Linked DNA regions of Lonchura striata. The protein of the gene in region 1 purifies or fractionates together with the protein of each later gene. This does not show direct contact. Links are inferred from orthologs where the notes say so. Each region holds a gene or a part of one and is shown on either strand. Other genes may lie near its edges. The genes, in order: RPA2, ATR, ATRIP and CDC45.

Region 1 (7,277 bases):
TAGAATAGGAGAGACTATTCCTAGATTTTTATCAGTGTGCAGAGAACAAGGTAGTCTTTGAACAGGAGAAATGCTACTGAGGCACTGCAGTACGTTGCCACTGAACTGATAAAAGGCTTGTTTTGAAAACAAGGAGCAAAGCAACTGGCAACAGCTCATTCAGGGCAGTGAATCTTTCAACAGCTCTGGCTCCTGTGCTGCTGGGACCACCTGAATTACCCACCCTGACTCACAGGTGAGTGTCTGGACTTGTCCACTGTTCTCTGCCTCTGGAAGGACTGCCTGGATTTCCATAGCATCCTTCATTTCTACACACTTACTTGATTGTTGACATACTCATACTGTGGAGCTGGAACTTCAAGTCCTGTAGACTCATTCCCTCTGGGACATGGCAGCTTTTGATCAAGTTCAGCACCTGGATGAGCAAGAACCACACTAGATCACACTGGAGCAGCCTCTGCTGCCACTGCTGTGCTCCCAGAAGAGCTGCTGGCACCCACCTGGCTCTGGTGCGCCGTGAGCCCGTTCACTGGCAGGCTGCCACCTCCTCCGTAGCCCCCCATGTCACTTATCCCAGTGGAGGAAAATGACTGTGGCCCTCTTGATGCTGACTGGAATTAGGAGAACAAAAGTGCTGTGGTTACCCAGGCTGCCCAAGCCTGCAGTGTTAAAGACTCACTGTTATTTCTAAGCCAGTAAGTAAAAATAGCTTCTTATGGAAGTGGATTGCAATCTCTCTCCAAGGAAGCCAGGACTCCTGTTACACCTTCAGCGTTGCTCAGCTTTAAGCTTTCCAGCCCCAAAATGAAGGAATTTTCCCAGTGAAAGGTCCCTCTTTGGGAGATCACCAGTCACCCAGGAAGGGCCACAATAAAATCAGGGTCTTTGTACGTACCATAAGATTTTTTCTGAGGATCATATGTGCATTGACAATTTCCAGTATGTGTGTGGTGAACTCATTCATATTTTCCAGAGGCATGATCTTAAATGCTACCAAGCTCTTCTTATTCTTTCAGAGGAAAAAAACAAACACAAAACAAAGAAAACAATTTACAGCACAGCAACATGACAATGCCTAACAGCCAACCCAGCCATTTCCTCCAGGAGGGTGGGACAGCAGTGGGGAAAGACCTTCTCTGTATGTAGGTCATCCAAAATGTTCTGACACACCTCTTGTGCTGGTTTGGGCTAGTAACATGGGCTGGTGTTGGACTTGTGCTGGAAACATTGTTGGTGACACAGGGATGTTTTAGTCATTACTCACCAACCCTTGCAAAGAGCCAAGGGCTTTCCTGCTTCTCACACAACTCTACCAGTATTAGGCTGGGAGGGGACAAGGAGCTGTGAGGGAAACAGCTGGTACCTCCACTGCCCCACGGGAGAGACCAGCCAGTGTCATGCTCAGTTAAAAAACTGGTGAAAGAAGGAGGAAGATGCACACCTGCCTGCCCATGGGAAGCATGGAATGAATTCCTTGTTTTACTTATTAAACTGCTTTTATCTGAACTCATGGGTTTTTTTACTTTGACCCTTCTGATTCCCCCCATCCTACTGGGAGTAAGCAAGAAAGCAGTGGGGGAGAGATGTGATTTTGAAAGACAATGGAGACAGTGACTCCTCTTTCTAAGCAGCTGGGAATTATCTGCACCTTCCCTAAATGCACATACACCGTTATTTGAATATTTGTGCCACATGGAGTGCTACAAGATTCACACACAGGTACACATACACTCTTACCTGGAAGGACCGAAGGTGACCAGCCACTTTAACGTAAGTTCCTGGAGGTACCACAACATTCTCACCTCCTGCCTCCTAACAGACAGGGAAAAACAGGTTTGCTGTTTCCTGTTTCCATTTCTCAACAGTCACAAGAAGCAACTTAGCAAGGAAGGCTCATCTCAAGCAAGCACAAACAACGTGCATTCCTATGTCATGCTAAACTTGCAGTAAGACTGAACATCTGCCTGGTTACCCTCCCAAAACTGTTCAAGTGAACTCAGCTATACTAAACAGGCACAGTCATATACACCGCCAGTGATCTCTGCTGCAGCAGGACCTCCCTTTGATTTCAGGGACACGTTATCCCTAAAATACTTTCCAGAAAAGCCACACCTTTTGGGTTCAAAAAGCTCTGTGAGAAGTAGGGAGTTGGTGTTCATCAATGATCCGAGATACTGTATAATTCTACAGCTTTTGTCCACCCACTGCTCCCCAGAGCTGCTCAAGAAGCCTGTTCCTAGCAAATCCAAAGCTTACATCAGTATCAACCCACTGCCGGACGTCCATCGGGGCTGCCGTCATGTCGTCCACTTTGTAGAGGATGTTGGTGGGCGCCTTCTCCGCGTGCCGGACGATGCCCACCACGGTGACCTGCGGCGGGGGAAGGAAGGGTCGGTCACTCGGGCCGGCCACGAGTGACCTGCGGCGGGGGAGGGAAGGGTCGGTCACTCGGCCGGCCACGGCTGCTGGCGGCCGCCACCGCCCCGGCACCCACCTGCGAGATCTCCACGTCGCAGATCCGGAAGGTCTCGTCGACCTGCTCGGCCGCCAGCAGCTGCGACACGGTGCAGGGCACGATGTTCTGCGAGCGGCTCCGCTGCGAGCGGCGGAGGGGCCGTCAGAGCCGGTCCCGGCCCCGGGCCCCGTCCCGCCGGCCCCGCCCGGCCTACCTGCTTCTTCTCCGCCTGGCCTCCGGCGGGCGACCCGAACCCGCCCGGGGACTGCGTGTAGCCGCCCGGGAGCCCCGCGCCGCCCATGCTGCCGTAGCCGCCATCGAAGTTCCCTACGGGGGGAGAAAGAGGGAACGTGACGCGGCGGCGGGGACACGGTCCCCTTTCCCAGCGCTGCCGCCATCACGGGAAGCGGGGCCCTCGGAGGGGGTGTCCCCTGGAGGGTCGCCCGGCCCCGCGCCCCGCCCGGCCCCGCACCGTGCCCGGCCCCGCACCGTGCCCGCTCCACATGGCTGCGCTCCGGACCGCCGCCGCCGCCCGCCCGCGCGCCGGGCCCCGCGCGCCGCCGCCTGCCCCCCAATCCGGGAGCGCCGCTCTGCCGGCCGGCAGCCAATCGCATCCCTCCGCCTTCCGGCTCTGTCCAATAGGAGGAGAGCGCGGGGAAGCCGCCGCCGCCGCCGCCATTTTGAGAACGGGCGCTGCCCGGCCTGGCACGGATGAGGGGGCGGGGCCCTGTGAGGGCGGGATTGTGGTGCCGGCCGGGGCCCTGTGAGGGCGGGATTGTACTGCCGGCCGGGTCCCGGTGAGGGCGGGATTGTGGTGCCGGCCGGGTCCCGGTGAAGGCGGGATTTTGGTGAGGGCGGGATTGTGGTGCCGGCCGACCCCGGTGCCCGCGGCGGTCTCTGCCATGCAGCCCACGCGCGAGCTCCTGTTGCTGCCCTTGCCGTACCTACTGGCCGTGGCTCTGCCCGGTGCGGTCGGCGGCTCCGGGAGGTTCTGGCACCTCACGGACCTGCACTGGGACCCCGGGTACGAGGCGGCGGCGGCAGCGGGACGGCCGTGCCCCTCGGGCGGCGGTCGGGCCGGGCCCGCCGGGCCGTGGGGCAGCTACCTGTGCGATGCGCCCTGGAGGCTGCTCCGCTCGGCCGCCCGCGCCATGCGGCGCCGCCTGGCCGCGCCGGACTTCGTGGTCTGGACCGGGTGAGAGGGGCCGGGCCCGCCTGAGGGACCCCGGGGCTGGGCGGGACAGGGGCGGCGGAGCCCGCACGGAGCCCGTGGTGTGTCGGGGCTCTTTACGCGGTCCCCGCTTTGAAAGGGAGAGCGTGCCTTGTAATGCGAAACAAGGGCTTGGAGGAAAGCACAACCCCAGCGAGGGCGCTCGACGCTGGCGAGACGCTCGTGGCAGTGAGGTGACAAAACGCTGTCCGTCCTTTGTGCATCCTGTCCGATCCCACAGTGAGTCGTAGCACCTGGAATGCCCAGGGGAAGCAGCTGCGGGAGGAGAGTACTGTAAACCAGCTTGTAGCGTTTCTTCTGGTTGCGAGGCGGCTGGGAGACCTGAAGGGACAGTTCTGCTTCAGGAGTCAGAGGAACCTCCCCAGTGGAGGATGTTTCTCTCCTAGTATGGGTTCCAGGGGTGGGTCCCCTGTCCTCTGGGAGGCCCCAATAGCATTTGCAGATGGTAAAAGTTTTGTTTTGCATAGTGACTGTGTAGATAGCCTTCTTCTGATAGTGCAGTCTCAACTTGCTGTAATCTCCAGTTCCAGTTTGCAGGGCTGTCACCTATCTCATGTTTTCATTTTCTGTCCCTGAAGATGCCTGTTCTTACTTAGATGTAGTTATTGGTTCTTGTGACCTTATGTTGAGTATTCTTTTTCCCTCAAGCAATTTTCCCCAGCCCTCTGACATGATTTTGAATGTTCTTTCTCTCCAGTGGGCTTGTGGACAGTCCAGCATCATCTACAAATGCTGTACAGACACAGACATGGAGCAGCCCTAGATTGCTGCATTACTAGAGGCATTTCCTTGTTTCATGGTGATCACAGCTGTGCAAACAGCTCTGCCTCATTATTGCAGATCAAATGCCCTCAGATTGCAAAGTGCTGACCCTTGCAGTGTTTCCAGTCAGCTTTAGTGCTGCCTAGGAGAAGGGAGCCTCCCCTTCACGCCCTTCTGCACAGGAGTTTTAAGGTAAAGCGAATCCTGGAATCACAGAACAGCCTGAGCTGGAAGGGACCCACAGGAATCATGGATTCCAACTTCTGGCCCTGCACAGACACCCCAGCAATCCCACCCTGTGCATCCCTGAGAGTGTTGTCTGAGCACTCCTTGACTCTGGCAAGTTTAGAGTGGAGCTCATTTTCCCTGTGAGCAATTTCTTGAAACTCCCTCATTGTCTTGGCCAGTCAATATAGCACTGACTTCTGCACCTAAAAGCTTAAACTTTCTCTTCTAGGAGGCACAGAGAGGAGTTGGCAAGTTCTGTGCCCTGCTCATTGCTGTAAGCACAGACCCTGTTAGTCCCAGACAGTGACTGTGCTGCTTCTCTTTTTCTAGAGATGACACTCCCCATGTCCCCAATGAGGAGCTCGGAGAAGAAAAGGTTCTGCACATAATAGCAAATCTGACTTCTCTGATAAAAGAGACATTTCCAGGTAGGATTTGAGGAGATGAGAAGGGAAGAGGAGCATAGAAGCTCATGGGAAAGGTTAACCAGGATGGAGAAATGACAGAAGTGAGACAGGGAAAGGGCTGTGGTCAGTGGGACTTGTTTGGTGGCCTCAATTCTGCTGTGCCATACAGCATTGATGCACACTCATGTTTCAGGTTAGCTTACTCAGGAGAGGGGAAAGGAAGGGTTTCTGTTGTTAGTAATGAAGGCAAAAAAGGCTGCAGGAAACTCTCAGACATAACCTGTGTCAGCAGGGGGCAAGGAGCATTACTGCTGGTGACAGCTCAGTCACTTGGCTCTGGGTGGCTTGTCCCAGGGGCGGGTCCGAGCCATGTGGTGCCCTGGGCAGTGTCAGCCCGGGGCAGAGGATGGCTGCCTTGGCAAAGCTCTGTTCCCAAGGCTGGGAGTGCCTCGGGGAGCTTGGAGGAGCTCTGCACCACTGACCTCCTGCCCCTCCTTGGCTCTGTCTCCAGGTACCAAGGTCTACGCAGCGATGGGCAATCATGACTTCCACCCCAAGAATCAGTTTCCTGGGAAGGAGCACAGGATCTACAAACAAACAGCAGAGCTGTGGCAGTCCTGGCTGAGTGATGCCTCTCTTCCTCTCTTCAGAGCAGGTCTGGCACCACTGGCTTGTGTTTAGAGCATGCTGGGGATATGAGGAGGGGTAGGAGAATACCATGAACGATTTTCCTTGTTTCTATGCTCAGAGCAGCAGTATTCATAGAAAATTTGCAGAGGTAGGCTCCAATTTAATGCTGATTTCTGTCTTGGAACTCTGCTTGCAAGAAGAGAAATTATTTTATACTTTAGTCTCTTCTGCCATTATCAAGTTACTGGAAAGAATGCAGTGGTGACCTGCAAAGGGAGGAAAAATATCTTTAAAGGTGGCAGCTGGTGCAGGCAGTGCTGGGGCTCTCCAGAGCTGCCCAGCTCCTGGTGCTGTCCATTGTACCCATTCAGGTCTCCCTTCACTTGGGGAGACACACAGGAAAGACTCACTCCAAATCCACATCCTGGAGTGGTCAGGGCACCGTCCCAAGCAGTGACCCTGCTGTGGCTGTTGCTAAGAAGAACAGAGAGAGGTGGAAACAATGGGATCTGGGCTCACAGCCACCCATGTGAGCTGATCTACAGCTCTTCCTCTGTTGGTTTCATTTTTAAGGAGCTTTCTACAGTGAGAAGCTGCCTGGCCCAGGGATGAGGGGACGGATGGTTGTCCTCAACACCAACCTGTACTATGACCAGAATGATGAGACAGCTGGTGAGGAGGATCCTGGGGGGCAGTTCCAGTGGCTGGAAGAAACACTGACCAACGCCTCTAGAGCAGATGAAATGGTATTAAAAAGACTGAAAAAATAAAGCTTCTCCCCAGCCTGGAAGCTCTTCCTGCTCTGCTCCCTCTGGGTGCAGCTGCAGCTGGCTGGTGCTCCATGGGTGGTGTGGGCTTTGTGCTCAGGGCAGCTCTTGCTTCTGTAGGTCTACATTGTGGGACATGTCCCCCCTGGCTTCTTCGAGAAGAAACGGGGCAAGCCCTGGTTCAGGAGGGGCTTTAACGAGCGGTACCTGGGCATTGTGCAGAAGCACCACAATGTGATTGCTGCCCAGTTCTTTGGGCACCATCACACCGACAGCTTTCGCATGTTCTACAGCCCCACAGGTACCTGTTCTGGTCACCCGAGCACCTGTGTGACAGCTCTCACAATCACTGTCCATCAGGGCTTTTAGTGGCTGTTGGCTAAAAGCGGCTAAGAAGCCAGCAAAAGCATCTGACATGCTTTGGGCAACAAGAGGCAACAGTGGTTCTCATCTCTACCCCCAGTCTGTAGCTCCTGCCCTCCTTCCTATTCACCCTCAAATATTATTTTGCCTTAATGCTTGGCAGCTTCTTGCCTGCTCCCTCTTGAGGGGTTTGGGCATTGCTGAGGGAGCAATGCTGAATCTCTGTGTGTGTGTGGGGTGCTCTGGGCGAACATCTTTGTCGAGTGTGGTTCCCTGGCCACCCTCACTGCAAGAGGCTTTGCCAGCATTGGAGAGCCCATTCCCTGTGCTCAGTCCCCAGCATGGTTCCACGTGTTAATCTCTGTGTGTGTGGTGGTACTGGGAGCTGGTGACAAAGGTGCTGTTGGCAGTGCAATCTGCTCCAGGGGCTCACT
Region 2 (7,887 bases), on another chromosome or scaffold:
TGTCCTCACCAACAGTAAGAGTGGTTCTCCAAAGAGTTCCGATTCCTCAGTATCCATTTCAAGTGCTGAATGTAGAATTTCAAAAAAGACCGTGAAGAAAACACTGGCCAGCTGTTCTGGAGGTCCTCCTAAATGAATTAACTTCACCAAAAACTTCATTGCCAAAGTTTTAACTTTTGGACTGCCATACTCTAACAGTGAGCAGCCTATCCCCCAGAGAATAATATCTTGTCTTACAAAAAAAAAGATATCTGCAACAATATTTGTCAGAATAGACATCAATACAACTTCCAAATATTCTATATTTGGCATACTCATCAGCTGTAATGGTGCCAATCTTAAATATCCCACTTTGTCACTTATATTGCTGGAAAATCTCTGTACAGTCACTGGCCAGACGAGTCCATCTCCCCAGAGATGCTTCTGTGTATCTCTTTCATGCAAGATGATTAAGTCTTGAAAAAGCTGTAGCAAGTCTTTAGTTAGTGCTTCAAAAATGGAGCCATTCTTCATTTTAAACAGAAAAAGTAAAGAGCAGATGACATCACAAATGTTCTTGTGCAATGTGTTGCAGCTTGGAGCTGCAGCAATACGAAGAAGCCTTGTTATGATCCAGTTACTAAATTCTAGGACAATAAAAGAGAATCTTTATTATTAAGATAAAAACTAAACTCTCCAACTGAGAACCTCCCTAAGAGCAGATTGCTTACCACTAAAACTAAACACATTGAGAGAAATGCATGTAGGCATCGTAAACAGAGTCTTCACTGGGATATTTATTCAGCAGATCTCATTGAAAAAGAGGAAAAAAAAGAGGGGGAAGAACATGGGGGTTGGGAATGTAAGACACACACTTTACAGTGGAATTTCTAGACATTTTCCTCTGTCCAAAAAACACCCTCAGGCAATGAGTACATGTACACCATATCTCATCAACAGTATATAATGATATATCTATGCAATGGTAATGGATAATGTCAAAATCTGTCCCGAGAAATTTCCATTATCACAAGTGTTAATCCATTCACAATATTCAAAGTCTATCATCATATTAACTTATAAATTTATAATGATCAACTTACATATCTGCCTTTTTTCCCATTCTGTTGCAAATTTAAATCTTGAAAATACCAAGCTTCAACATAAACATTTTCAACAAACTCACCAATGCAACTGCATTCAGTTTCCTCCTGATTTCCATCCACATTTACAAACATAAGTGGGGAAGACTTCATGATATGTTGAATAAAATCCAGCAACATCACAGAACTTGGCTGTGAATCTGATTTCTTAATCAGTTCCAAGGCAACTTAAAAAAAAAAAAAAGAAGAAATCAGCATGGCAATAAACCACATAAAATTGCGCTTACACTTTATGAGAAAATAAAAAATATAAAATATTATGATATGGTATTAAACCCTTCAAAATATTTATTGAAAATATGTTTATTAATCTATGAAGATAATTGTATGCATATTGTAACCCTCTCTGTGACTCCAAACTGTATGAAGAAAAGTATGAATTACTTATTAAATATTATTAACCCCAAACGCATTAACATTCAGTTAAAATTCTATCCAACTGTGTATTGAGTGAAGAACAGCAAATACTTAACATTTCCCTAGGTTTACAGTCTTGATAAAAAAACAATGCTGGGAATTGTTTCAAATGCCCAGAATATAAAAGGTTTTAAATGGCAAAGTCAGCTTACTGAAGCAGAAAGTTTAACAAAACACTGAACATATCTAATGCTGCTCCATTGAAACAGGTATCTGACTCGTATCAGATTTATCCAGATCCTGCAGGGATCCTATCCAGTGTTAGTTAGAACAAGAAGGAAACTATCTGAGATTCAGACAAGATTTTAGTTCTGAAAGACACATGTGAATATTAAGAATTGCAAGCTCTGTTACTCATAGCAGTGACATTACATGACACTCCTGCTTTTCAATGTTGTGAGCATTCGTTTCCATACAACCCTGCACTACACTCACCCCTCCTTCCTTGGGGGTCTGTGTGTATGGTTTATTTACAAGGGAACTTCACATCCCAATGCGAAATACTTCATCACTGACTTTATTAAAAACTAGGTAATAAAATGGCATTGTATTCAACTAAAACTTTCTTAATAGTGTCTTAACTTTTATTTTTGGCAGGAATTACTTAAAGTATAAAGCAGACAGTTTTATATTAGAGGATTGCAATGCTTACCAACATCTACATCTGTAAGAATTCTGTCAATGAATTGGCAAAGTATTTGTCTTGGTTTCTGCACAACTGTGTTGTATTCTTCTGGACTAGCACTGCAATTAGAATGATATATTGATGTTACCAATTGTAAAGTACAAAATAATAACTTGGAAGTCTATCTCAACAGTTTAATGTTAAACACTCATTTTCTTCTAGAAGTCTTCAAAAATAAACATAAATGGTTTTCTTGGTGGTGTATAGTGGTTTGAAGGTGGGGGGAGGCGTGGTTGGGGTTTTTTTTCAATTTTCTTGTTTTAGTGACTGGCCTGTCCCACAGCAATCAGGTCTCGTAGGGTCACATCTTCGGTATACAATTGTACCTCCACATCAGCTCGCTGTTTATTGCTGTACAAAGCTACAGTGCCCGTGCTGCCATTAACACTGCAGAGGCCGGCATGCTGCAGCTCGCGTGGCTCTCAGCGAGCGCTCACAGCACACGCAGCCTCGGACCGGGCACTCTGAGGCACCAGGCCGCTCACGCCGGGATGTGCCAGCGCCACCCGGGAGGGAGAGAGGAGCACCGGGCAGGTGGCGGGAGAAGGGCCCAGCTCAGGTGAAGGCGCGGGCCCGGCCGCAGGACACCTCGCACACCTCCTTGTCCCCCTCCCCGCCACACCTGCCGGGCGCGCCTCCCCAGCGCAGCCAGCCCCGCACACACACGCCCTGCACGGCGGCCGCCGGGCCCGGCCTACCCGGCGAGCTCCCGCAGCGCGGGGATCATGGAGGCCATGCCCAGGCCCTGCTCCGCCATGGCGCCGCTTTGAATCAGGCGGGCGGCGCGGGGCGGGCGCGGCGGGACGGCGGCCGGCGGGGCCCAAACCTCCTCCCCCGGCGCTGCTCGGCTTTAACCGCTTCGTCCCCGGGCGCGGAGCGGCCGCGGCGGTTCCGAATCGGTCCCCGATGGCTCCCGCGGACCCCGCGCCGCCCCGGCGGGGCTCTGCTGCGCGGAGCGCTGCACGGACAGGTAACACCCAGCGGGGCCGAGCGCACCCCGCCCGGCCTCGGCCGGTTCGGCAGCAGCACTGAGGGGCCACACGGTCCCGGCGGGCGCCTGGCGGAGTACGGGATGCGCGACAGGAAGCGCCGCAGCGCTGGAAGTGGCTTAAGCGAGGAGGGGAGCGCCCGCGCTGTGAGGAGAAACTTCGCTGCCAAGGGAGCGCTCGGTGCAGCTCCCTCTCCGCCCGCCGCCTGCCCGCCCCGGCGGGACGCACCCGGGTGTCAGGTGCAGGACAGCTCCGCCGGCCGCCGGGACCGGCCCCAACGCCCCCGGCCCGCCCCCGCCATCGCCCCGCCCGCCCGGGCTGGCCCGCGGCAGCAGGTGGTGGCGGGACCCGGCGGGCGCCGGCGCTGCGGGACGCGGCCGCGGGGCAGGTGGGCAGCGAGCGGGGCCGGGGCCGCTCTCGGCTGCTGCCGTGTGCCGGGGCCGGCGGGAGCGGGGCCGGGGCCGCTCTCGGCTGCTGCCGTGTGCCGGGGCCGGCGGGAGCGGGGCCGGGGCCGCTCTCGGCTGCTGCCGTGTGCCGGGGCCGGCGGGAGCGGGGCCGGGCCGAGGGCGAGCGGAGCCGGCGGGCGGGCGCGTTCGGCAGGTGAGCGCGCTCGGCGCTCCTCCGCACAGGTAGTGGTGAGCAGCGTGTGTAAGATAGAGCTTTTCTCTTTTGCTGTTGTTGTTACTTTCTGAGCACATGTTGCTTTGCGTTACGTTTCTTTTGCGAGCCGTTGGCGTGTGTAGAGTTCGGAAGGTGCCGCGGAGAGCCCCGGAGGGACGCGAGGCGGGCGCTGAGCGGGAGCGTGTGGCCCCACCTGGGCAGCGAGTCCCGAGCGTTCAGGAGAAAAAAGAATAAAACAAGGGCTTATGGGCAGGTGTGAACTGCAGAGAGAGTACGCGAGGGGACACTCAACTCTGAGCTTTGTTTTTGTTACTATGAGCTCTGGCTCTTTATGCATTTGTTTGTGAAGTTTGCTTAGCGTTGTTTCTGGGTTGAAATAAAATCCTCTCGGAGGATAATTCTCTTGCGTGTTTCCACTGTGCTAGGGCTGTGTCGCTTGCATGTAAAACAGCCCACGTGTGTTTCAATTACTTGAACCATTTCAGATTAATGCTTTCGGGAACCTATTGCTATATTTCATTCAGAGATAGTTATTTTTATTCTGCAAAATATATGTTTGTCATTTCAGTAAAATTCTGCTGGCCTCTTTAAAGGCCGGTAAATTGGCAAGGACCTAAAATACTTAAAGAAACTTTACAAAATATAACTGGGTTTTATCTTAGTTTGGTTTTCAGCATGTATTGCAATGTGTTCTACTAGCTAACTTTGTAAAATGTTAGTCTTTCTAGAGTAATTCCTAGAGAAAAAACAGGAACCCTGTTTTATGTGGTTTGTTAAAGTAGGATTTTAATGGTTCAGAAAGACCAAGTACATCTGGGTTTTGTTATCAGTGTTATTTTGGACACAAGATTTTCTAGACCATTTCAATTTAAAGTATCTATTGTTGTGAAAACAATGTTCTGAAGTGCAAATTTCCAAGACTGAAATGACAGTCACACTAAGGAAGGTGTAAACTGTACTGCATGCCAATTTAATGTAGAGTTAAAACTCATGTATCAGCCCTGATGAATGTAAGAGAGAGCAGGATACTGTTGGTATATTAGGAAGTTCAAGAAGACCCTGTTATCCTAAGAAATAAGCTAAATTTAGTGAATCATAAGGTGATTGGTTTTGCTGGTAAAACATAGGTGTGGTACATAAAGTGCTTAATTTTAAACAGTGCTTTTTCATGGGAGTCTCTGGAGTCAACAGTGAGATCATATTAGTATAGTTATTGTAGAAATGCTTTCATTTGTCACAGGTAGAATGCTACATGGATTTGTTGTGTTGTTTCTGTGAGCATTTACTGAGCATGTAATTCAGGCTTTCTTCTTGTTTATAATAAGTACTTCTAACAATCAGCAGAGAGATCTTCTGCTCCCCATTCTTACTGGGAATTTTACTTCCCAGTTGCAAAGCCCCATCTACTGACTTTTCACCATACCATCAAATTTCCCCAGCTACCATGGTGCTAGAAGATTCCACATGAGAGTGCCCATAACAACTTCATTGGGCTGTGAGGATGCTCACACAACCTAGCGTTGTATAGACCCTCCAGGGAAACAGCACCTGAAACACCTGGTTTCATTTCTTGCTTTTCTTAAACATGGGATAAGCATCTCATTGTTTCTTTCTTATCTCATTGTGTTGCACTTTATGTCTCTTGACCCCCAAGAGGAGAAGCAGGCATGTTACCACGTGTGCAAAGAGAGTCACTAATTGTTAATGAAGATAGTGTGCCTGGAGACCTTCCGTTACTGTCCCGAAGCTGATTCATATTGGTGAAAGGAGGCTTAGATGAGCAGAGCCCATCTTGTAGAACTTGGGTCAGGGGAAGAAATTTATGCAGATAGGTACAACCTAAATGTCAAATTCAGTGTCAGATACAGCACTTCCAAGATTTCTGCTAAAGCTGCTGTTACTTTTTTTTTTTTTTTTTTACTCTTTTTTTTTTTTTTTTTCTGTTCACTTCCCTACTTGAGAAGTCCTCTCACTTTATAGTTGCATGATTCTTCCACTCAGGCCTCTCTCTTTCTTGGCTTTCATTGTTAATTTACCACATGCCTCTGCTGGTCATTGTACTTATTTTAAGACACTGAGTGACTTTGCATTGGACCAGCAGGTCTGAGAGGACAAGAGCATGTTAATTGTACTTTTATTCCCTCTGTTGTTTAATTCTGAGGCATGATCACTGTTCTGGGGGCTCATGTGCTCTGTGGATGTGTGTGAGCTGTTCCCCCAGGAGGCTGGTGTGACTGCAGTTCCATCTCAGCTGTCCTGCGGGCAGACCAAAGGATCCCATGGAAGTGCACATGAGTGATCCCTGATGCTTCAGGAGCAGAGAGCTGTGACCTCACAAGCTGACAGCGGTGGTGAGGGGAAATGCAGCTCAGATGGTGCTCGGGGGTCCTGTGAGCTGGACTAAGTAGTTTCACTCAGTGTCAGGGTGTGCTTAGGGCTGCTGCAGTAGCACCGAGAGGCTGAGTGCTCCAAGCCACGTTTCCCTAGGCACTCATGCAGGTGCCTGACCTTTGGACACAGGACACTGCTCCTCTGCACTGTAAGAATGTGGATCTCAGCACTCGTGCCTTTTATCTCTGCCTCTGTTGCTTAGTCAACTGGGCTGGAATGAAGTGGCACAGATTAAAATTCTGTGTCACCCTGAATATTGGTGTGATGATTAAACAAGACAGTAAAAAATGGAAACAGTAAATGGTGGTAAGGACAACAGGCAAGCCAGAAACCTAAAAGCAGATTACGTACACCCGTACAAGAGGGAAAAAAAGTGGGAAAAGAAACCATGTACTACTAAAATCTATTTAATTTCTAAATATAATCTTGTCAGATCCTAGTCCTGCAAGCACTTATTCATGTTTTTTCTATGAATAAGCCTACTAATACTGATAATGTAAAATACAGTATTTAGTCATTTGGAGAAATGGCAGATTATAGATTTTTTTGGAACCTAGTTTTATTATTTGTGTAGCAGCAATTACTGTTTCTTTGTTTATCTGCGACTGCTACTTTTAAAAATAGTTGCCTATATATTTTTTCCTTACTTTTTTCTTGCTTCCCAGTATTTCTAGAAGAGTGTTATTCTTGAGGCTAGTAGCTGTGGAGGAAACTCTCAGAGCTATATTAACCACTAGTATCAGTGTATCATCAAGACTTTTCTAGTTTATAATTTCTGAATGAAAGTTAAAATTCCTGGAATCTATTTTCCTAAATAAAAATCTACAGTCTGGAATTTACTCTTTAAAAAAAAACTTGTAGCCACAGTGATGTTTAAACATCCCTTGAAGTCTAAAATTCTGTACTAAAATTGTGCAGTGTGCATTTAAAATGTCATTTAAACTACATTTGAAAATTCTAACTGTTGAAATTATGTAGGTTCTTTTATTCTAATATTTCTTCAATGAAAATCTGAAAAACTCTACCAGCTACCATTGCTCCAGTTTTCAGGAAGTTATTGTTTTCTGAGAGTCTTATTAGAAGCTACAATTTTCCATCTGATTCTGTGTTCTGTACTGGTGAAAACTGGAATAGAGTTTATGTAAGAGGATATTGATAAAAGTTCTGCTAAATGTCCACTTTCCCCATTGTGTTGCTTACTATAGAAATCGGTGCAATGGAGGAGGGAGAATGGGAATTCATGTTCTTTGTCCTTTTTCCATCTTTTTTTGGAAAGCAAGTAAATTAAATCTGTATGTAGTGGAGCACTATTTATCACTTCTTTGTTCCTTGGTGAGTATTTTCCCAGTACCTAGAGCTTTCACTACTCTCTGAGGATTTTGTCATTAGACTAGACATCAGCTTAACAGCCTGCTATATGGAAATACCTAAAGTGAAAAGTTTAGGCATACTCTTATATGTAAGACTTCATGTGAAGTCTCTGTGTAATGTTCTGCCCTTCTTATTGCAGTAATTAATTAAATAAAATACTTTCATAGCATTCATCATAATGTCTGAAATACTTCACGTCCATGTTAACTGTTTCCTTAAAAGCTCCAAAAATCACCAGGTCTACATAAACAGATTAAATAAATGTAGGGCA
Region 3 (7,483 bases), on another chromosome or scaffold:
ACATACATTCCAATTGCAATGTTCTCAGGATGGCTTCAAAAAAGCAGTACGTAAATGAAAACCTCTACCACCTGAGTTTCACTACTTTATTTTGGCAGGGGAAAACCTTCAACAAGTTCTTACAAATACTTTCTTCTAGGTAAGAAAATAAAAGCAAGCATTGTGGAAATTTCACACAAATGTTGTTCCTTTGACTAAATGGTCTGTGACATCTTTAAGTCATAAATCAGCTTCTGCAAGTGATCTGCAGGTAACTGACAAATTTACAAACCTTTTTGGAGAACTCTTTTTCTTTTTCACTTAAAATCTGAGATTTCTGTTCTTCCAGTAGCAGGTATGATCTTTTCTGTTCTTCCATAGCATACTCCATCTGCTGCATTGAGTCACGCAGAATTTTAATTTCTCCATTTTTAGTGAGAATTTCATCCTGCATTTCTTTCAGCTGCAAACAGAGGAGTTACATTAAAGGATGGATATAGCCAAAAGTATGCATTTGCATCAATATGTGGTTGAAAATTAGGTGTATTTGTAATTCCTAGGAAGAAAAATGCTCCTGGTAACCTAGCTCAGAAATTCTACACATTACCTCGAATTTTTCCCTGATTAAATCAGGCTCAGCTACTGTTTTCTTTAACATAATTCAAAATTACAAGATTATCCTTATCTTTCCCCTCCTCTGCAATTATGCTTTGGATTTTTAAAAAAAAAGTGTTCTAGTCACACACATCAATAATTAATTCATTGTTTGGATGATAACAGTGATAATTTAATTACACTACTACATCCATCAGGACAGCCAACAAGCACTCTAAGAGAAGGTACCACCCCCAGAGAGAATCTTCATGACATTGAGTCTCTAACATTTCCTGAGCAGCCACTACCACTCAGAGACAAGACTTTGAGGATAATAAAGAAGTTACTCAGAAAAGCAAGAAGAAAAGATCAGAAAGACACTTCTCTACAACTGAAATATTAAGATTTAATACAGTATACAAGTAGGAGATTCCCTGATAAAGGTGGATATAATAGAGCTGGGACAGATACAGAGAATGGAGAAAGGGAAACAGAGAATCTCTCCATAAATGACCACTGGAAGGTAACGTAACATAAAGCCACTTGAAAGTCACCTCACTTTCTCAAACCTTTTAAGTTAAACAAAACAACTCTGGCTGATAAAGCAGAGAAATTATTTGATAGGGAACAAATAAAACTGAAAAATTAGCATTTGCTAATCTGAAATTACCAAGAAATAAAATATTGTTCTCACTCTTTAGTATTACTGAAGCTGTTTCTAGTACAATTATTGTATTTTAATACACCCCTGGATTACAAAAATTAGATCACCTTGATTAGAATTAAATGCTTGGGACTGGATTTATCCCACCTTTCAGTTGTTCCTATCAAAAATGTAATATTTAGAGGAGAAGGGAGGATATTGCCAACCTTCCGTTTAACTTCTTCATGCTGTGTCTGCAGCACTTCAAACTGGAATGCATCTCTCATCAGACCATCTTCTGCTCTGCTTCCTGCTGCAGGGAAAAGCCAAAATCTGAAGCACAGATGATGAATGTGCATCACTGGTGACTTAACACCAAGTTTTGTTATTTGTCATTGCATACATCTGAATATCTTAGTATTTTACTGTCATTACAAACAGGTAAACTGCCCCATCTAGTCACCACAGGAATTTTGCTAGTGCATGTGCATCAATTCTTATAACAGAAGAATCCCTGCCCCTTCAAATTTTTAATTACAGAATGGTTTGGGTTGAAAGGGACCTTAAAGATCATCTCGTATCTTAAACCACCAAGATGACCCACAGCAAAAGCAAGCATTTCTTCTGAGATAACTTTAGTGAATGCACAAACAAGGGCTCACTGAAAATTTAACTCACCTGGTGACAGATGTCAGGGTTGCTAAAACATACTTAGATTACTTAAGGTCTCTAAGGTTCATTATGAAGAAACCCCTGCTTTTGTTTCTTTCAAAATAAACCTGAAAGTCAGCTGTTAATACAAGGCATGCTGTGCATTTATTAGTGGAAAATAAGAGGGGAAAGAAAATCTGAAAGCCAACATGCTACTAGAATATAACACCTAAAGCATGTTGAAAGTTTAGGAAACTCGAGTTTTTTATTTGGCAGGTTTAACATGCAGCACCCCTGTCCCAGGCTGGCATTACGACACACACCCCAGGCAGGGCTGCTGGAGCTGTGGGATCAATGCAGTGCTCCTGCTGGGATTGTTATCCTCGTTATTCCTCTGAATGCCAGCCATCCCTCTGACCCCGGGCGTACCACCGTCGGGTGCTGGTGGCCAGGGGAACGGGCAGGATCAATTAATTCTCTTAAGGGAACTTACAAGAAAGATGGAGCAAGTCTTATTTACAAGAACCTTTAGTGACAGAACAATAGGAAGGGGCTTCACGCTGACAGAGATTTAGGTTAGATATTAGGAAGAAATTCTTCCCTGTGAGGGAGGTGAGGACCCGGCACAGGTGCCCAGAGCAGCTGTGGCTGCCCCGGGATCCCTGGAAGTATCCAAAGCCAGGCTGGCCGGGGCTTGGAGCAGCCTGGGACAGTGAAAGGGGTTCCTGCCCGTGGCAGGGGGTGGCACTGGGTGGGCTTTGAGGTCCCTGCCAACCCAGCCATTCCGTGCTTGCTAAAGGGACACCGAACGCTTCGGCAGCAGCGGGGCAGTGAGGGGCAGCCGCCGGGACACACCGACCTTGCCGCGCGCCCGGGGGCAGCTCCGGCGCTCCCCACGCGTGTCCCGCGGGCGGACCCTCCGACAGCGCCTGCGAGGCCAGGATGTCGATCTGCTCCAGGTCGTCCGCCGTGAAGTCATCGCTGTCCCCGAAGGGGTCCATGATCCCGGTCGCGGCGCTCTTGGGGCGCTTGTGCGGGGGCAGGACGTTCCGGAGAGCCGGCGGGGCGGCCGCAGCGCCGCTCTCCCCGCAGAGCGCGGAGCCGCTCCGCTTGCGCGGCCCGGGCAGCGCCGCCATGGCGGGACCCGCGGGGCCGCCCCGGCCGCGCCCCTCGCGCGCCGCGTCTCCCGCCAATCGCCGCCGGGCAGCCCTTCCCACACAGCCAATAGAGTGGCGGCAGCTTCAGAGCCGGCTATAAGCGCTCCCAGGATTGGCCGCGAGCTGCCGACATGCAAGCGCCTCGCTGATTGGGAGAGACGGAGGCGGGAAGGATTGTCCCCTCAGCGCTGTGAGGGAAGGCGCTGACGTCACGCTTTCGAGCGATTACGTCAGGCTGGACGGTGACGTCACGGCGAGGGTTGTCCCGCTGCTGTCAGACCTGGCTTCATCCCGGGAACGATGACGTCACGCCGCAGCCGCAGGGCGGCTGTGACCCGTCCTGTGCAGCCACAGACACGACTGCCCTCGATAAACTGGGACCTCTAGGAGAGTCAGGGAAGTGCAGTATTTGCTAAAGTCCTGTGCTAAACCCTCATGGTTAAATTACTGGCGTTAACCTGCTTTTGTAATCATATATGACCCGTTTTTAAATGTGGACTGAAAAACAGAGTTTCCAGCTCTATAACTCACGTGGTGTGAGGCCACAGCTATGTTGATAAACCTTTTAAGAGGAGACCAGACGATAGTCTTACAGCACGTTTTTAAAACACAGCTACAATTTTTTTTCATTTCTACAAATCAGTTTACAAACCCCTTGATGGTCTTTGAAGTGAAAACCACTGTGCTAGTGTGACATATTTCCAATTGTGTTATAGAATTCTGATTTTTCTTGCTCATTTCGCTATTGCCCGTGACATGCAGGGAAATTGGGTTATCACTGGAGGTAATTTTCTTTTTCCGTGCAGTGCATGAGCAGCCTGTGAGGAGCCGGTAGGGCCCAAAGCAAGCCCTGAGCCATCGCTCCCAGCTGTGCTGAAGTGGCAGCAGGGATCCCAGTGGAATCAGCAGGTGGGAACAGCTCATCCGCTCAGCTCAGGTGCACGCAGAAGGGGCAGCCTCAGAGGGCAGGTGCTCTTGTAGCACTTTAGCTTTGAGGTGCTGCTTAAAGGTTTATTTTTGTTTCTCCAAGAAGTTGTTCTATCAATTATGTACCAAACTGGGGGAATTGTGAATGCTTTTGTTGCTCAAAACACTGAAGGTACTATTATTTATGTTTGGAATTATTGCTTTTCTCCCTCTAATGGGAATGGTAACATAATGCTTGTCTTTCTAGTCTTGCCATAAAGTTTCTCCTTGCTTTTAAGAATGGTTTCATCTTTTTATATTTAGAGAGAGATGCTTTGAACAGATGGAATAAAAACAAAATTTCTTGTTTAGTTTAAAACCTCTCCTGGCAATTTCTCGTGCTCTGTTTCTGCTGCTTATGTTTAAAGAGACATATATTGAGAACTTAATCTAAGTAATCTAAAAGGAACTGGATTTAGACATTACTTGTTCTTAATTCTGGGTTGTTTTTGTTTGTGTGTTTTTGTTGTTTGTTTGTTTAGGATTTTTGTTTAATAAATTAGTAGGATTATGATAGTATGACTATTTTTTATTATTGCTCCTTTTAAATAATAGTATATTGTCTGAGTGGTATACTTTCAGTTTTACTTTCTCCTCTTCTGCTAGCTGAAACTGAGGAAAAATAGAATGGTAGAACACTTGCACAGGCTTTATTTTTAACAAGATAAACCAAGATACTGACTTCGTTTTCCTCTACTCCAGGTGTTCCTGCTAAAGAGAAAATGACTTGCAGAGGATTAGAATAACAACAAAGTAAGTCTGACATGTAGAATTTTATTTAAATACAGCTGCTCATGGAATAATTTTTGGGCAGGGGGATGAAAGTAACACAGTTACATATTTGCTGATTTCTCATTTTTCTCTGTCTTGCTTACACTGAGTCTTAAATCTGAAACTCCCTGAGGAGAACACAAGAAAGCAAAGCGTGAGTTTAGAAGCTACCTGACAACTGTGGCATTCTTAATTTTTGTAGCCAGAATTTCTTGTTTCATTTGAATATTCCACTTAGGACTAATGGATCCAGGTGTCAGGCCTCAATCCATGTAAGCAGTTTTAGCATTACCATTTGACTCTTGCAATACTTTTAGCTACAACTCATCTGCTTTCTACTATTACCATTATTTTAGTTTACTCATGAGCAAGTTAAAACCAGGGCCCTTAATGTCTGTCCTGGCTTTAGCAGTATCTTGTTTTACTGACTTAAGTGTAAAATCACTGGGGTAATAGGGAATTTGTGCATTTATTCATTTGGGTGCACATACATTGTGGAAGGAGAAACCTCTTTAGCATAATTAAGCATTAAGCTTAATAACTTATGTGTGGATTTGGACAGTTCTTAGTGCTGCTAATGGTAAGTTTATTCTAAATGCTAGTAATAATTCTGTGACTCCAGTGCAAGCGTTTCTTTGTCTCTTATTTCAATGAAGATTGATGTGAATATGTTTTGTGTTCTAATTCTCAAAACACGGAGTAAATCAAAACTGAAGTGGATGACTGAATGAGTCCAGGTACCAGCAGAGATTAAATTTTTAGCTTAATTCCTAAAGTATGAGGTAATAAAATGCAAATAGGACTTCGGTGAAAATTTGTTATAATAAAACAGCATCTTGATCCAGACCTGAGAGTCGGTTAGGAGGGGAGTATTCTGGGTTTTGGGCAAATGTCAAGAGTTTTGTCTTTTGCTGGTCGAGGGAAAGGAAAACCCGCCTGTCAAGGATGACCTCGGAGCTGCGTGTCTGAGATGGAGGGGGTTTTAGTCTGTGCTTGTATTGGGCCCTGAGAAAAGAGAGGGAAAAGGGAGCAAGGCAGGACAACGGCGCCGTCTGCCTGGAATACGGCTGCGATGGAGCTGATGGAGGGATGAGAGGAGCCGCCGCTGGCCTGGGGTGGCGGTGAGGGCAGAGCCGTGGGGGCAGAGCCGGGCCGGGAGCGCGGCCGCGCGTTGCAGCCGCGCGTTGCACCCGTTAACTCCGTTGGGGTGAAGGAGCGGCGGGGCCGCGCCCGTGTGCCGGGCCCCGAGCGCAGCCCGGCTGGCCGGGCCGCCCGTGTGCCGGGCCGCCCGTACGTCCGCGCCGATCCCGCCCCATGGGCAGCACAACAAACCCGCCCCGTCCCGCCCGCGCCGTGCGGCTGTTGCGCGGAGCCGCCCCCGGCCGCGGGGGCCGGGCCCGGCCGGGCGGCGCTGGCAGCGGGGCCGGGGCGGACATGAGGACCGAGATCTCCACAGCGGCCGCGTTCGTGACCCGCCTCCTGCGGGCCGCCGGCGGGGTCGGCGAGGAGCAGCTGCGGTGCTTCCGCGAGTGCCTGCAGGAGGCGATGCGCGGTGAGTACCGGGGGGGCATCCCCTCTTTCCATCCCCTGCATCCTTGCCCTGCATCCCTCCCGCATCCTGCGGGGTCCGGCGGAGCGCAGCCCCGCGCAGAAGCTCCTCTTTGTTCCCTCCCGCAGAGCACTACAGGCACCACTGGTTCCCCCTGGTGCCCTCCAAGGGCTCCGGCTACCGCTGCATCAGGATCAACCATAAGATGGACCCCTTGATAGGAAAGGCGGCGGGGATGATCGGACTGAGCCACGAGAGGCTCTTCCAGCTCTTACCCAGCGAATTAACGCTGTGGGTCGACCCCTTCGAAGTGTCCTATCGCATAGGTGAGGATGGGTCTATCTGTGTGCTGTACGAAAGCCCCCAGCCTGGAGGGAAGGCGGCAAAACAGCTGGAGAGCAGGACCAGCTGCAAGGAGGAGTGGAGAATTGGCAGATCCAGCCCTTCCAAGAGTTACAACATGATGACAGTTTCTAGTTAAAAACAACTCTTCCCTGTACGATGTTGTATGTATCCCAACCTCATAGTAAAGTCAGATATAGCTGAGCTTTTTTTGTTTTTAATTATTTTTTCACCCTATCGTCATTAAAATCATGGTAGTACTGCCAAATTCTTTGTGGCCAAGGGCTAAATGTATAAAGCAATTCTTTACACTGCATGTTCCTTTCTGAACTGTGTCCTGTAAATGCACTGTACAGTTGGTGGATTGTTTTACACATTTATATTTTCGAAAAAGTTTTGCGTATTTGTAATAAAAAGCAATATTGTAGCACTCTTTATGACGGGTTTTAGTCAAAATTAGTACTTGCTAAAAAAAAAATCTGCAATTTGCAGAACAGTAACACAAAGAGGGGTAGGAAACAGATCTAACATAAATCCAGTGATTTGTCTGCACAGACTTCTCTCAGGGTCATTCAAGTTTGACTGTGAGGCACAAATCACCAAAATAACTCTCTATTTTCCCTTTTTCAAAGCATGCATTTATTTGAGGGCTGGGTTCCATCACACCCCAATATTTTAGCAAAAAGAAGCGGGGAATTAGTTTTCTTCTTATTTCTAGCTATGGGAGTAGAAAAATAAAGACTTGCTTAAATGATAAAATTATTCTGACTTGTTTTGGTGGTGTGCTGCTTTTTTTGTTTGGTTGGTTGTTTTTTTTTTTCCCCAGGCTTT
Region 4 (7,898 bases), on another chromosome or scaffold:
ACAAGTGAATGATACCTTCGGATGTCTCCTGGTTTAATTGGTGAGGGACTGGGCTCCACACCTTTCTTCTTGCCATCCAATCTGTTCCCAGATCCAGAGAATGCCTGTGGATACATAATCAGTTTTAATTGAACTCCTGGCATTTGAAAGCACACTTCACAAGGACATTATATCTGTAAAATCTTACAGCAATTTTTATTTAGTTATTTAACTCAGCATGATTCTTTTTGGTACATATAAGCTGATGAATCATGGGTGTAGGAGTCTGTTTCAACCTCTCATCTGCCCTTTGCAGAGAACAATTCATGCTGCTCCTGGCTGTGATGACACAAAACATTCACAGGCACTTACCAGTTAAATAACAAGCATCTATAAGAACAGGTACTGATATTTTGCAGTTGTTCAGAACAACTTTCCCTCACCATTTTACAGGATTCAGAAACCAGCAGAAACAGGGCACTTACACGAAATCCTATATCGCTCACATACCCACTGTGGTCTGCTTCCACATCCTGTGAGGGGAAAAACAAGTTCATGTTGTTTGTGTTCTGACATGCACATGCCATGAAAACTGTTCCAAGTATTTCTGGCCAAACAAAACTTCAGAACAATCACTTGTCAAACCAAGACACTTTCTTAAAACAACAGTTGGTAAACACCAGTCCCCTAAGTAACACATGCAAAGGCTTCTGGCAAGTAAAATTTACTCTACAGAACTTGTTTAAATAAAAAAAAAAAAATTATGTTGGCACTTCCCCCACAGTCAACAGTGACTTCTAGGGGATGCATTTTGGAAGAACAAAAGTTTAACATACTGCGGTCTCTTCATGTTGTGCACTTCTTTCTGGTTCTTTGTATCCCAAAGGAGCATCAAAATCCACCTATTTACACAAGAAGCATGAAAAAACCCATTATTAATATTTTTCATTAAATCATAAGCTTTATACTACTATTCCTCAAAACTTCATGAACTATTACCACTGCGTTTGAGCTAAAAAGAACTAAGGTTTGGTTGTTAAACATTTTAACTCAGAACTAAAAAAAGACCAAGCCTACTAGGAATTAACCTTAGCATGTAATGGAAACAAAGCAGTAAAACAGCTCCACAATATCACTGGAGTGTGAGTCAAGACAAGGCTATTAAATAAAACTCAGATAAAACATGCCAAAGTTAAACATTAAATTCTAGGCATGGTAGTCACCTGATGGTGCATGAAGTACTAATCGGGATCACAGAAGGGGTTACAAAGGCACATGAGTACTCCCAAGTGAGTCATCTTCCCCACCCCATGGATTGCACCTTTCTTGCAGCATCAGCTGGGCTGGGTGTGCAGAGCTATCACTGCCTTCCCCTCTTGGGAGGACAGTTAAGGCAGGCCTTCCCCATCAGCTTTAACTTACATTCATATCACACTCTATGATGGACACAGCCTTATCTGGTTTGGTCTCCATTACCCGAAGCTCATAGATCTGAAACAGTCATAGATATTTCAAGATTGCATTATGTGTAAGGAAAGCATATCTAAACCTTCCCCTCCAGACCTGAAGTAAGTACTCTTTAGGTTGATAAGAATAAATATTGCAGGGTCTCTACAGAATTTAAAAGCAAAAGTTTTTAGAAGCCAGAGAACCCATTACTGCACCTTGCTGCACTCTTACTGTACTTTAACCTCCATTTTTGAAAACAAATTCTGAATTTAGGATAAATTCTTTCCCTTCACTTGTGAAAACTTCAACAGCACAAACATTTATTTTCTTGTGAGTCCAAAGAAATTTAAACAGCAGCTCAGAAAAAGACTTAGCTGACTCCTTTTTCCCTCCAACAGAAAGCCAACTGTGAAATCTGCCACGTGGGATTACTTGTCCAAAACACTGCATAGCTCTGAGTTGATTGTTTTAATACCAACATCCAACACTAATAGTAGTCTACAACCCTCAACCTTACACTGTACCTTTTCATTGTAGTTGATGGCAATCACATCCCCAGTAGTTAGACAGGCGAAGTTCCTCAATGCATTTTCCAGTCTTTGCAGTATGTTAAGATGAAATATTTATTTTCAGTGAAATATCAAAGCCTTAAAATCACCATACTGTAGATCACTAATCCTTAGTTTCTCAAACATGGTTTAAAAGCCATCAGTGCATATAGGATTTTAGGATATATAAATTCTTCAAAGGGGGACTCAAAACTCATTAGATTTTAAGCCAACACTCCTCCTTCTTCAGACCACACTTTGTTCCAACAGTTGACCACATCTCTGTACATCAGCTCTGCATCCCTTTTGTTTTCAGAAGGGGCAGCAGTGGCCATGTACTACTGGAAGTGTATGAGCCACGTAAGACAAGCTCGCTCTGTTTCATCATTCCAATTTGGAAGCAAATTTTTTCTCCTTTATTCCATAATTTAATAGGAAGGATACACAGCTTTGGGATTGGTGATGTCAAGAAAATCTGGACTTTGTGGCTGAAATTTTGAGTAAGTAGCAACTTGCAGATTCACACTCTCCACTTGCACCAGGCCTCCTTCTTCCAGCAGCAAATTCTGCATCATCTGCAAGAATGGAGACAAACACACACAGCCCTATCAACGTGTCTGATATTTTCAAATCTCTCTCCTGTGTATATCAGCTCTTGTGTATATTCAATTTCAGGAAAAACAGTCAGGTGAACGTTAAAAGCAGTCTGCTTTGCTAAGTTAAACTTCTGCAGAAGGAAGCCTGAGCCAGAACTGAAGGCTGTTGTAGGAACACAACCAGCAGAGACAGGCACTGTCAGGAAACATTCACATCCTTAATATTAAGCCTGGCAACTCCCTAATCCTACTTTTCAGGTTCTGACAGTCCAGCATGAGGCAGCTCACCCAGTGTGGAAGGTAACAGATGCCCTCGTCAGCCACAAACTCAAGCACTCCACAGTGAGTCATTCTGTCTGAGTTCTTGTTGGTCAGCTTGAACAGCATGGGGTAAGTAATATTAAGGCGGCCTAGTAAGAAAGGAGAAAAAAGTTTGCTTTGTTAAAAGCCCCTCTGAAAGCTCTGAAGCTTTCAGAGATCAATCACCAAGAGAATGGGCCCCTCGCACCAATATCCCAACTGCTCAAAATACCAGAGAAAGCAGATGTACAACTCCAGTGTTGGCACGGCACTCAGAACTTTAAATGCTCAGGGAGGCCAATATTTCATATGTCTGTGCTTGAAGGCAGAAAAGCCCCATGAATTCTGACAGAAAAAATACCTTTAAAATACATTTCTTAAACTAATTATTCTCACAGTACTGATTTAAGACTTAAATAAATAAGTAAAATACTGTGGTATTTGCCTACACATTTGCTCCTATTTCTAATATTGTTATTCCAGAATAATGCATTCACTTACTGAGTTGATCCAAAGCTGATGGTGGCATAATTACTGCAGAAATGAATAAGAATGTGAAATTAGGAAAAGTACATCTGTATAAGAGTACATAACACACAATTTTATCCTTCCTTTCTCTAAAATCTCTTTTAAAAAAAGGGCAGATTCTACAATCTTCAAATTTATTTTTTAGACAGAGAGTTCAGTAGAATGAGTCATGACAAATATCCCTGCAATGTGGATATTTCAGAATTACAATCAGGGAAAAAACAAAAGAGAAGACAAGGTTTTACAATATTATTATTAAAGAATTACTTTCCCAAAGCTAATTTTATTCGTTAGGGCTCCCAACTCAAAACAACATAGCATTAGTCTGACACCTTGAAAACTAAGTGACTTTCTTTATACAAATTAAAAAGCACAACATGGTGCAGGGGAGAAACTCCTCAATCATAAACTTCCATGGCTCACACTAGATACAAGATTTTAAGAAGAAATTTTGTAGATGAAGTCTGTTCCTTCTGATACTCATAAACCCCGAGTCGGTAATCATTTTTAGTTACCGAGTAATGCATGGCACATGACCCCTCCTCCTTCCTCAAACCCAGCCCAGGGTGCTCAGCACTCTGTCACCGTGTTTTCAATATTCCTGCTGCCTTGGCCAAAAGCTGCAAGACTTGAAACTATTCAAAAACACTCTTCTAACAGTTTATTAGTCAAAATAAAACATGCACATACTCTTCCCGCCTTTCTCCACATCTGACCTGTCATTAGGTCCGGCAAGCATGGATACCGAGAAGCAGCGGTACTGGGTTGAAAAACGGTTCTGGAACACCCGGGGAATGGGGTGGTCAAACATATTAAAAGAGAACTAGAGGGGGAAAAACAACACACAGAGAAGAACGCAATCATCAGTATCTAGAGCACACAAAGCGACACAGCACCCACTGAGGGCTCCTGCAGTGTCGCCGCCGTGACGCGGCCCCTCCCGGCCGCCCCCCGCTCTCACCATGGCGGCGGCGGCGGCGGGCGCTCCCTCGGGGCCGCCGGGCCGGGCCGGGCCGGGCCAGCGCCGCTCGTTCCCCTCACGGGCCGTGCCGGGCCCCACCCAGGCCCCGCCCCTCCCAGCGTGCCGCGCGGCGCCGCCCACTCGGGCGGCCATTGCGGGTGAGGGCGGAAGATGGGCCCTCGCGCCCTCCGACGCGATCATCGTCAGGAGTCTCTTCTGCTCGCTAGGCTTCTCTTCGGTCACTGGGTGTTGATGCGGCCCTGCTGCCCCTTCTCCGAGCTCCCTTTAATGGCAAAGCTTACAACTTGCCCTCAGAAAAGATGGCGGACACAGCGACAAGACCAGGCCAGGGTGCTTCCGGCCAAGGCCCTCTTGGGATTGGTCAGCAGCGAGTATCGTCACCGCATTCTCCGCATTCCATTGGCGAGGCCCAGGAAAGGACTTGGCATCTCGCTCTGCAGAGGCGGGGTGGGCGCGTTCCTATTGGCCAGCGCTGCGTGAGGCGCGGACCAATGAGAGGCGGCGCTGGTTTGGCGCTCAGTTTGAGCGGCGCGGCCCGCGGCTGCCGCCCGTTCCCGCCGCGCTCCCGTTCCCGCCATGTTCGTCTCCGACTGCCGCCGCGAGTTCTACGACCTGATCGCCACCCAGGTGCGGGCAGCGCGCCGGGACCGGGCCGGAGTGGCTCCCGGGGCGCCCCGGCGGCGGGCGGGGCCGCCTCCCCTGGGGCTCTCCCCGCTCTGTGTTCTGGCCGCCTCACGGCGCAGGGTCGGTGCCCGCGGTGACTGAGGCGCTGCGGTGCTCCGGGGCGGCGGTGGTCTCGCTCTGGGGCCGCAGAGCGGGGGTCGGTGGCGGGGAGCACCGGCCGGGCGGCCGCGCTGAGGGCGGCGGGTCCGGCTGTCAGCCGGGTGGTTAAAATCCCTTTCCCGGGTGTTTTCCCCTTCCCTACCTTGGGAACCCTGGACAAAGCAGCGTCAGCGTGATGAGGTTTTGCCGGGGATTTCACTCAGGGTTCGCCTCCTTCCGCAAAAGTGTTCTTGTGTGCTCTGGATCTCAGGCTTAACCATGACATCGCTGAACCATTTAAAAAAATATCTTTATAACCATTTTGATGTTATTTGCCCAGACACTAAATACTGTTTTCTGTTATCTTTAATGTTTTTCCTGCAATCTTGTAGCACATTTGTTTGCTGCTTGTATTTTTGCAGGGCTTGGTTAACTCCTTTCACTGTGGTAAGGTGGTGAAGCTTTTATTGGACAGTCTTTTAACATTTCTACCAAGGAAATGATATTATGGACTGTGCAAATGAAAGCATTTGTCTTAATTTCTCCAGCTGAGCAAAACGTCAAAACACTCTTCCCTGAAGACCTAAAACAACACTCTCACAAAACAAACAAAAAACCAACCAACCAACCCTCTCCCTGCCGCCCCCAAAAAAATACCAGCCAACCTTGATTTAAATGAATTTATTTCCCTAGTTGCCTTGCTTTTGCTACAGATTTTTTTAGTTAAAACTGTTGCAAATCTGCTGAAAACGAAGGCCATTCTAAACACTATGAAAATAATTGTAGGGCTTGACTAGGTGTGAAACTGTGGAAGTATGTGAGGTCCAGAGGAAACAGTAATTACCTATCCCTAAAGGAGCTGACACATTTTGGGTATAGGTGGAGTTGCTTGTTTTTAATATTGACAGATATCCAAATTTTGGTTGCAGGTCCATTCAGAAGCAATCTTGTTTTATGCTTGTGATGATTTCTATCTGAATTTCTGGTGTCTCAGTGTTCCATGGATTTCATGTACCAGCATGGTCTATTTGGCACCTATTCATACTATTATTTTGTTATTTTTACAGCGTGTTCTTCTTCTTGTTGCTTCAGATGTTGATGCATTATGTGCTTGTAAAATACTCCAAGTAAGTCTTGGTTCATTATCACTGCAAGCTGACAGTATGAGAAAATATGTATGCCCTAGGATCCTATACATGGGTGTGAACTAAGGAGAGGGGGAAGCTTTAATCTGCTTTTGTAACATTGGTTTCCATGAGTTATGGCACTGAAAACTGGGGAGTCATAATCTCAGAGCTCATATAGATTTGTCATTTGGGGTGGTTTTATTTTAAGGGTTTGTATAGAATAGACTCAGCCTGGTGTAGCATTGTAAGAGAGGCTGTTTCCCCTCCCCTCTGCTCACAGCTGTTGCTTCCTTGCAGGCTTTGTTTCAGTGTGACCACGTGCAATACACACTCGTGCCAGTGGCTGGGTGGCAAGAGCTTGAAACTGCCTTTCTGGAGCATAAAGATCAGGTGAAAAAATACTGGAAAATTTTTGGGCTGTAGCTCATCTTTTGTAAAGATAAACTGCTTTCCTTTCCCAATTTAGAATGTCAACCCTTAACTTATTGTTATTATTGTTATGGTTTCTTAAAGCTCGTTACATTTTAACATACCAACAATAAACTTGTCAAGTTTTTAACATCACAAATGTGCTGTAGTGTTGATAGAGTCAAATGGAGTTTGCACACATTTTGAGATAAAAAGGTGCAGGTTTTTGTGTTTTGCTTTAAAAAAAAATCTGCCTCAGAGGCATCAAATATTAGAAAATAAACAGAAGTTTTGGCAATGATGAGTGCTCTGTGGGTTTTGTAAGCATATTTTCAGTTTTCCATGTTTTCTGGCAATTTAAGTAATGAGCTTCTTTTCTTTTTCTGCTTTTGTTTGCAGTTCAAATACTTTGTTCTTATTAATTGTGGTGCTAATGTAGACCTCCTGGAAATCTTGCAGCCTGAAGAAGACACTTTTTTTTTTGTATGTGACAGTCACAGACCGATCAATGTAGTGAATGTTTACAATGACACCCAGGTAAAACTTTGCTTCCATAATAAAAGCCTCCCCACAGTGTGGTGGTGAGCAGTGTAGTGCTTTTCTGTGCTTGCAAAACTGGTTAGAAATTAGCTTGTAGGTCAGAAAGCAGCATTAATAAATAAATATTTGCAGTAGTAATGTACATGACCAGAAAAAAAATCATTTTTCCACTAGTGAAATGTCTAAAGTTAGCAATGTGGTAGTTGTCAGTAGTAAGCACCTGTTAATGTTGTTGCTATAAATCAAACTGCCATAAATCAGAGGATAAACATCCCTCCAGAATGTAACGTGTATTATTTCTCAGCATCTGGCAGCACCTAGAATTTTAAGTATTAAGCATAAATTATTTTATTTTAACAAGCATTAAAATGATAATTTTTTCAGTAATGCTCTAATAATGGAATATAGATTTTTACTCTTATTTTCTATAAATCAGTACGGGAGTTGCATTAAAAACCAAAGTTTTGTTATGCCAGGAATTAATACAGCCTAAATGAATTTTTGGTTTCTTTTCTAAGTAAGATTGCATTTTGCTCACTAAATAAGATACTTACTCTAAAATACAGTTTTCTCCTTGCTAGATTAAGCTGTTAGTCAAGCAAGATGATGATCTCGATATTCCTGCTTATGATGACATCTTCAGAGATGAGGAGGAGGAGGAAGAGGACTCAGAGAATGA

Evidence for each region.
Region 2: the proteins of RPA2 (region 1) and ATR purify together in Homo sapiens (affinity purification with western blotting; 3 studies listed by BioGRID, with this or other methods). This does not show direct contact. The link is inferred for Lonchura striata from reciprocal best matches to the Homo sapiens genes RPA2 and ATR.
Region 3: the proteins of RPA2 (region 1) and ATRIP purify together in Homo sapiens (affinity purification with western blotting; 5 studies listed by BioGRID, with this or other methods). This does not show direct contact. The link is inferred for Lonchura striata from reciprocal best matches to the Homo sapiens genes RPA2 and ATRIP.
Region 4: the proteins of RPA2 (region 1) and CDC45 purify together in Homo sapiens (affinity purification with western blotting; 3 studies listed by BioGRID and IntAct, with this or other methods). This does not show direct contact. The link is inferred for Lonchura striata from reciprocal best matches to the Homo sapiens genes RPA2 and CDC45.

Annotation. Positions count from the first base shown.
Region 1 is NC_134628.1:5,394,949-5,402,225, forward strand, and holds the start of RPA2 (replication protein A 32 kDa subunit), read right to left. Parts: upstream 3,005-7,277; 5' UTR 2,961-3,004; coding exon 2,945-2,960; intron 2,783-2,944; coding exon 2,670-2,782; intron 2,597-2,669; coding exon 2,495-2,596; intron 2,371-2,494; coding exon 2,257-2,370; intron 1,813-2,256; coding exon 1,738-1,812; intron 1,010-1,737; coding exon 896-1,009; intron 612-895; coding exon 501-611; intron 416-500; coding exon 321-415; intron 1-320. Other genes in the region: SMPDL3B (acid sphingomyelinase-like phosphodiesterase 3b), read left to right, coding at 3,358-3,650, 5,007-5,104, 5,595-5,738, 6,287-6,459, 6,601-6,781. UniProt on the Homo sapiens protein: As part of the heterotrimeric replication protein A complex (RPA/RP-A), binds and stabilizes single-stranded DNA intermediates that form during DNA replication or upon DNA stress.
Region 2 is NC_134612.1:12,839,867-12,847,753, forward strand, and holds the start of ATR (serine/threonine-protein kinase ATR), read right to left. Parts: upstream 3,010-7,887; 5' UTR 3,002-3,009; coding exon 2,943-3,001; intron 2,304-2,942; coding exon 2,212-2,303; intron 1,310-2,211; coding exon 1,166-1,309; intron 627-1,165; coding exon 1-626. UniProt on the Homo sapiens protein: Serine/threonine protein kinase which activates checkpoint signaling upon genotoxic stresses such as ionizing radiation (IR), ultraviolet light (UV), or DNA replication stalling, thereby acting as a DNA damage sensor.
Region 3 is NC_134614.1:7,102,308-7,109,790, reverse strand, and holds the start of ATRIP (ATR-interacting protein), read right to left. Parts: upstream 3,016-7,483; 5' UTR 3,004-3,015; coding exon 2,727-3,003; intron 1,530-2,726; coding exon 1,444-1,529; intron 443-1,443; coding exon 272-442; intron 1-271. Other genes in the region: protein BTG1, read left to right, coding at 6,196-6,313, 6,439-6,791. UniProt on the Homo sapiens protein: Required for checkpoint signaling after DNA damage. Required for ATR expression, possibly by stabilizing the protein.
Region 4 is NC_134620.1:7,541,734-7,549,631, forward strand, and holds the start of CDC45 (cell division control protein 45 homolog), read left to right. Parts: upstream 1-4,895; 5' UTR 4,896-4,958; coding exon 4,959-5,009; intron 5,010-6,211; coding exon 6,212-6,271; intron 6,272-6,568; coding exon 6,569-6,661; intron 6,662-7,078; coding exon 7,079-7,216; intron 7,217-7,800; coding exon 7,801-7,898. Other genes in the region: UFD1 (ubiquitin recognition factor in ER-associated degradation protein 1), read right to left, coding at 16-104, 465-512, 816-881, 1,402-1,470, 1,953-2,025, 2,421-2,551, 2,861-2,982, 3,374-3,406 and 2 more. UniProt on the Homo sapiens protein: Required for initiation of chromosomal DNA replication. Core component of CDC45-MCM-GINS (CMG) helicase, the molecular machine that unwinds template DNA during replication, and around which the replisome is built.